Linked DNA regions of Rattus norvegicus. The protein of the gene in region 2 interacts with the protein of the main gene of each other region in a pairwise test. Links are inferred from orthologs where the notes say so. Each region holds a gene or a part of one and is shown on either strand. Other genes may lie near its edges.

What was found.
Region 1: the proteins of Cpt1b (region 2) and Tex44 interact in binary tests that used the Homo sapiens proteins (3 or more experiments, as listed by UniProt). The two-hybrid records come from large-scale screens. The link is inferred for Rattus norvegicus from reciprocal best matches to the Homo sapiens genes CPT1B and TEX44.

The regions. Positions count from the first base shown.
Region 1 is NC_086027.1:94,522,343-94,525,809, reverse strand, and holds Tex44 (testis-expressed protein 44), read right to left. Parts: upstream 2,162-3,467; 5' UTR 2,134-2,161; coding exon 823-2,133; 3' UTR 743-822; downstream 1-742.
Region 2 is NC_086025.1:122,373,645-122,377,239, reverse strand, and holds part of Cpt1b (carnitine O-palmitoyltransferase 1, muscle isoform), read left to right. Parts: intron 1-561; coding exon 562-669; intron 670-745; coding exon 746-830; intron 831-1,357; coding exon 1,358-1,553; intron 1,554-1,847; coding exon 1,848-2,033; intron 2,034-2,719; coding exon 2,720-2,825; intron 2,826-2,903; coding exon 2,904-3,020; intron 3,021-3,361; coding exon 3,362-3,526; intron 3,527-3,595. UniProt on the Homo sapiens protein: Catalyzes the transfer of the acyl group of long-chain fatty acid-CoA conjugates onto carnitine, an essential step for the mitochondrial uptake of long-chain fatty acids and their subsequent beta-oxidation in the mitochondrion.

The DNA.
Region 1 (3,467 bases), on a different chromosome or scaffold from region 2:
CAAAAACCTCTAAAAGCCAAACCAATCAGTGGGCAGGGTTCATCCCCAGACCCCTATCTAGAGACACACAGGAAAGTTAAAACGGGTGGGCGGATGGTCCCTGACTGGCATGAAGGTGTAAGGCTGTGCAGGTTTGCACTAAGGCTTCACCCAAGATGTAGTTCTGGGTCTTGCTAGATGGTGAGGCCTTGGGTGTGCTTTCAGCTCTTGCTCCTGTACCTACTTCCCAAGATGCAAATGGCAGAGACCGGAGTAAAACATCATGAAGATGACGTGGACCACGGGTGGGCAGCCAGTTCTTTGAAATCTAAAGGCCTTAACATCCACAGTGTCCTCTCACCCCTCTAGTCTGAGAGATGGTTTGGTCACCCTCCCTGGAGCCCTGTCCTGTGTCTTCTGGCATTGGGATGTTGACGTGTGTATGTGGTGGTGGAGTTCCTTTCTCTACTCCAGGTTGAGGAAAGGAGGCCAGGGAGTGGGGCCCAGGACGAGAGGAGACTTCACAAGTCTGATTCTAAGCCTTAAAAAGATTACACAGGACCTAAGGGTGTGTGTCCCTCCTGTGAGGCCTGATATAGTACTCTCTACTCCCAAACCCCTCCTGCCTCCCAGAACCTCAACAGGTAGCTTGGGCACGGGGCTGAGGAGCAGAGAGGCACATTCCTAGGTTTACCTGTGGGCCCCATTCGTTCCTTTTACCCTGTTGTCCCATTGCATGGATAAGGGCAGAGCTTAGAAAATAAACGCTTGTGGTTATTTACTGAGGGGCAGGGAGCAGTTATTTAGCACAGGGTTGGGGAAGGAGTAGAGGGGCTTGCTGGTCTAGTCACTATTGGAGCCAGTGCGAGCCCAGCGCAAGGTGAAGTGGTTCAGGTAGCGCATAGTTGAACGGATGCCTTCCATAGTGTGCCTCTCCACAGATTCCAGCAGGTGTGTGACAGAGCGCAGGACTGAGCTAGTTCCAGCCATCACCCCAGACGAGAAAGCTGACCTGGCACTGCGAAAGAGGCTGGCGACAGTGCGCAGTCGGGGACCCTCGTCTTGTAGCCTGTCAGCTGGAGAGCTGCGGCCTGAGGCCAGAATGCCCATAGCCACACCCATGCGTGTGGCTGTGTCTGACCACACCAGGATGTCTGTGAGGGAGCTGATGGAGCCCTCTCCTCCACACAGTAAGCTGGTCATAGAGCGCATGTAGTCATTCTCCACTTCAGGACCATACAGACTGGGGTCCAGACGGCTCCTTCCTAGGGACACCTGATAGGAATCTGGAGAGGGGGGTGGACTGTCTGCTGGGGAATTTGGAGAAGGTGGGGCCTGAGGGGTCCCTGAGTCCGCAGCTAAATCCTCACTGGTTGACTTCGGAGATCTAACTTTGCTCTCAGGGTTCAAGGCCTTGAAATCTTCAGCCTCCTGATCAGCAGACTTGGTGGGTTCTGGTTCAGGACCAGTGGTATCTGAAGGGGGTGGGTCAGTAGCTCCTGCAGAAGTCTGGACATCTTCAGGTAGGACAGATGGGACGTCAGCATTTGAAGCTATCTCCAGTTGCCCTTCCGAAACAGTTGACTTTCCTGATGTCTTTTCTTGGGTCTGGGAGTCACTTGGGGAAACCGTCCGGCTCCGACTTGTGCGGTTGTTTTCAGCCAGCCTGTCCCACACTGGGTTCTGGAAACCTACAAACATTTGCAGGATACCTGGGTCTTGGGGCAGCAGGGATGTGAGCTCTTCGAGATTCTCCTGGCTAGGATTTGGAGTACCTGGGATCTCTTCTTTGACCCCAGATGTTGATGTAGTCATGGAGGTGGCTGGCTCTGCATCTCGCCCTGTGGAGGTGTCCGTCTGCATGGAGGCCCGATCTTTATTCTGTCCCATAGAAGTGGCAATCTGCATGGAGGCCTGCTCTTCATCTTGCTCTGTGGCGATGATGTTTGCCTCAGAGGCCTGGTCTACATCCTCTTCAGCTCGTGCTTCCACGATGTCTTCTGGTGGGACTTCATCAGGTAGGGGATCCAGTCCTTCAGACGGTCCGGGTAAATCTTCAGAGTTTTCATCAGCTTTGTTGCCCAAGGAGGCCTCAGGAAGACCATGTACAAAATTGCTGTTGGCTTCAGGGTCTTCCAAGGGCTCAGTGGTCATCTATGCCCCCTGCTACTTATGGTGGTTGGGAAGGAGTGGCTTGCCTCTGCTAGGCTCAGTTGTCCAGGTGGTGAGGTCACAGGAGGTTGTGGGCAGCTGATGATGTCACAGGTACTTGTAGAGCAAGTCCACTTGAATGTCCTGAGTCTGCTGAGTGGCTGTCCTGGCGGGCTGAATGCAGGTGATGTTGCATAGCCAGAGCCGTAGGGACACAGGAAATGAAGGATCACCATCTCGGTTTAAGATGAAGATATGGAGGTGGGTGCAGATGCAGCCGCAGGGCTGTGAGAGCTTGTGGGAACTGTGCTTTGGGGCATGATAAAGGAAGGTGATGCTGAGTTTGAATGAGTGGGTTTTTAGTTTATTTTGGGAGTGGGGGATCAGTGTTCTTGTTATATAGTTCAGACTGATCTCCCACTCCGATGATCCTCCTGTCTTAGCCTCTCAAGAACTAGGATAACAGACACTTGATACACCAGGTTATTATCCCTCCCACCACCTCTCTCCTCATTGGTGCTTCAGGACCCCAGTTTAGTCAGTCTTTCTTTGGGAGCCATTTCTCTAGCAATGCAGGGGGATGGGGGGAGGATAGTGGAGGCCAGGGCCTGGGCGGCAAGCATCTAGGCTGGCTATCCTTAGAGCTAGAGTTAACCTTTTGGACACAGGACAATCCACCTCCTCACCTGGGCTGGGAGGACAGAGAGCTGCAAATGGGTGCAGACTTCCGGGTAATCTTAAGAAGGACTAGGGCCCCAGATAAACCCACTGTGCTAAGAAGGTAGCTGTGGATTGGGTTTGGCTGGCTGTAGAGCGCTTGCTGAGTATGCTGTTTCATCCACAGCTAGAGTGTGTGTTTGTGCTCACTCTGGTTGCCAGGTTAGGCGTAGTTGTGGTGGGTAAGAGGAGAAGCAGGCATCTGATGCCCCCAGGGACCCCAGCATCCCTAGGGAGAACTGGGTCTACTTTTATATCTTCTCTCCTGGGGGCAGGGGTGTGGTTCCGCGCCTGCTCTGCTGCTGGGCACGGCCTCTTGGGGAGGCAGAACTCTAGGAGTTTGACTGTGCTTATCCTATGCCACCATCGCCGGGGTGGGTGCCAGGCTGTAGGGAAGCTCCAAGACATTGCTCAGGGGATGGGAAAGCCGGAGCTGGGGGTGGGGGGGTGTCCCTGGACCTGTAATGAGCTGGGGTGGTGGAGTGGTGGTGGTGGTGGTTTCAGGTTTCAGACTCTTGGGCATTCAGGCACCACTGGGAGTCAAGGAAGAGCAGAGAATGGAGTGGGGGGGGGCAAGGGCTAGCCTGGGCCAAGAGAAAGGGGGAGCTCCAGCTTGTCCC
Region 2 (3,595 bases):
TCCCCAACCCGGATCCTCAACTCTCTTGACACCATTTTTAGAGCTTCTTTAAAACATACTTTTTGCTTCTTGTCCCTTTGTGGAGCCAGGCCGCAGGATGAATGCCAGCTTCCTGTAGTACTCAGGAAGTCCCTGTCTGCCTCACTTCACGTGACTGGTGTCCCCACCATATACCTGTGGACAGATAGCTGATCTTCCTGCTGCCCGGCGCCCAATCTCTCCTAGTGTCCAAAGTGTACCCTGCTAGCCTCCTGGAATTCCCCTCGTCTAAGAACTGTCTTCCTAGCAGCTTGGATCCTGCCCAAAGATTTGTTCTTGTTATTGTTGCTCCGTGGTAGAACCTCTTTGAAGCAGAGTATGAATGAGGGGTGAATAGCTCTGGTTGAAGCTGGAGCCTGTTAGCTTACGTTTCTGGAAGAGCACCCTGACATGATGTTGGATGGAACAAAGACCGGGGGGTACAATGCCTCGGGCTCCTGAAAAAGTTCCCTTAGGCTATTGAGACTCAGGTGACCGCCCCAGCCCGAGGTACCCAGCCTACTGACTCTGCTCCATCCATAGGATTTTGTGCTTATTAAGAACACGAGCCAACAAGCAGCACGTTTGGGAAACACCGTTCACGCCATGATCATGTATCGCCGCAAACTGGACCGAGAAGAGATCAAGCCGGTGAGTTACATCAGGGTCAAGCGGCGGGGTAAGGAGAAGAGGCCTGAATCTAAACCACGCTGGGCCTTCCTCCCAGGTAATGGCACTGGGTATGGTACCCATGTGCTCCTACCAGATGGAGAGGATGTTCAACACTACACGCATCCCAGGCAAAGAGACAGGTACTGGGCTACAACCAGGCACCCATGAAGAGAAATCCCTGGCACCCATGAAAAGGAAGTCATAGCCATGGCAGCTAAGTGCCCAACTACTATTCGTCTCTAAGCACTCCAGTGTCTCAGGGCCATGAATGTGTAGTCAGTTCGAGAGAGATTCTAGGTGGTCGTTACTTACAGACATTGCAGATGCTGGGACCCCTGAGGGGTCCTTCTAGGGTCTCCATAGGGAGGTCGTCATGAATAAAGAGAAATGAGATGAGCTCTGCCGGGGTAGTGGAACTCAGGAGAAGAGAGTCCATCCCTCATGGATCCTAAAAGGAGGCAAAAGAGACTTACTGGGGAGTGGGGGAGGGGGCGGGAGTGCACAGGGACTGACTGGCTTAGACAAAGGAATGCCCAGGTCAGATGTGCTGCAAATCAGGGTCTACAGGGACTGTGTGTTGGGGGGAGATAGCCCCTTTCTGGGCTGGAGAGGGGAACTGGGTATTTTCTGAGGCCCTGCCTCAGCTGCTTCCCGGTTTCTGTCACAGACTTGCTACAGCACCTCTCAGAGAGCAGGCACGTGGCTGTCTACCACAAAGGTCGCTTCTTCAAGGTTTGGCTCTATGAGGGCTCGTGCCTGCTCAAGCCCCGAGACCTCGAGATGCAGTTCCAGAGAATCCTCGATGACACCTCCCCGCCTCAGCCTGGAGAGGAAAAGCTGGCAGCCCTCACCGCAGGAGGAAGGTACCCAGGGTCTGTAGGGAGGGTTTGTCCAGGCCCAGGTTCAAGGCTTCATGAGAAAAAAAAAAATGCTTGGTCCCACCTCCATCCTAGAACTGGGGGCCAGAGGTGCAACTGAGGCTAGGCACATAAAACCTAGTGAAGGGCACTGGTGGTAAGGACAGAGGCCATCTTTCAGGATCCCCAAGTGGCTCTTCCTCATCTCGTCTCCGGATTCAGCCTGATCCTGAGGTACCCTGGTTTTAAAATATACATACATACATCAGTTCCACCGCTTCCCTGACCTTGCATCCCCAGGGTAGAGTGGGCAGAAGCACGTCAGAAGTTCTTTAGCTCTGGCAAGAACAAGATGTCCCTGGATACCATCGAACGTGCTGCTTTCTTTGTGGCCCTGGACGAAGACTCTCACTGTTACAACCCTGATGACGAGGCCAGTCTCAGCCTCTACGGCAAATCCCTGCTGCACGGCAACTGCTATAACAGGTACGTGCCGCCCTAGGCTCATGGGTCAGAGGTTAAAGTTCAAGTTTAGTGATGACAATTATAGGCCAGTGGTTAGGGTCAGAAGATTAAGGTAAAAAGTCAGGTGCAGTGTTAATGGATAGATAGCATTATTTACAGGTAAGGTCGGATGTTGAAGATTAGGAATGGGGAGCGTGGGACTGGAGAGATGGCTCAGTAGGTTAAGAGCACTGGCTGCTCTTCAACCCCCAAATCTGACGCCCTCCCATAGGCACACATGCAGGCAAAACACCAAGACATATAAAATAAAAATAAATAAACTTTCTTTTAAAAAGGCGAAGAATGGAGATTAAGAGGGCCAGTGGGGTTGCTCAGTGAGTAATGGTACCTGTGGCTAAGCCCTATGACCTGAGTTCAAACCCCGGAACCCCAATGGTGGGATGAGAGAACCAGGACCCCAAATTTGTCCTTTGACACCACGCAGGCGTGTGCACACACACGTACATATTTTCACACACGCGCACACACACACACACACGCACAAAGACACATGTAATTTTATAAAATTTAAAGAACAATAGAAGTTGAGGTTAAAGTTCTGGGTTAGTAATTAGAATTGGATCATGAGTGTTAGCAGTATACGGTTAGGGCAGTGGGCTGGAGAGCTAATTACCCAGTTCTGGGTCTATCCTGATCTACTCCTGCAGGTGGTTCGACAAATCTTTCACTCTCATCTCCTGCAAGAATGGCCAGCTGGGCCTCAACACAGAACACTCATGGGCAGATGCTCCCATCATCGGTCACCTCTGGGAGGTAAAGTCGCGGACAGGGCATTGTCAGGGCAGGCACCTGTGACGAGGCTTGTTTCCAAGCTTGGTTTTATCCCTGCAGTTCGTCCTGGCCACTGATACCTTTCACCTGGGCTACACGGAGACAGGACACTGTGTGGGTGAACCCAACACCAAGTTGCCGCCGCCTCAGCGGATGCAGTGGGACATTCCCGAGCAGGTATTCAGACTAGAAATGGCCAGCTTAAGTCCCACCCTCAAGACAAAGGGACAAGAGCTTCTCGGGGTGCCATGTGGGACACAGGGAAAGCAGAGACCCCAGGGTTGTCTGGTTAGAGAAAGACTGAGATCCGTCGCTCACAGTGCCTGGTAGATGGCACCTCCCTCTCCACCAGGCTCAGCGTGGCCTCATGCCATATCCTCCCAACCTGTCATTTGTGTGTCCCGATGCTATTGAGCTGACCCCGCCTCCCATCACTACGTGAACCTTACACCTTCTTAGATCTAGAGGCCTCCTTTGAGGACTTTGCCCTCAACTGACCCCATTCCACGTCTTGGCAGTGCCAGACAGCCATCGAGAATTCGTACCAAGTAGCCAAGGCCCTGGCTGATGATGTGGAGTTATACTGCTTCCAGTTCTTACCCTTCGGCAAAGGCCTGATCAAGAAGTGTCGGACCAGCCCTGATGCCTTTGTGCAGATTGCCCTGCAGCTGGCTCATTTCCGGGTAGGAGCTTCTGAGGGCTGCTGCGGAGCGGGCAGGGCATCCTCGGGGTCCGCCTGCTTGATTCACCCC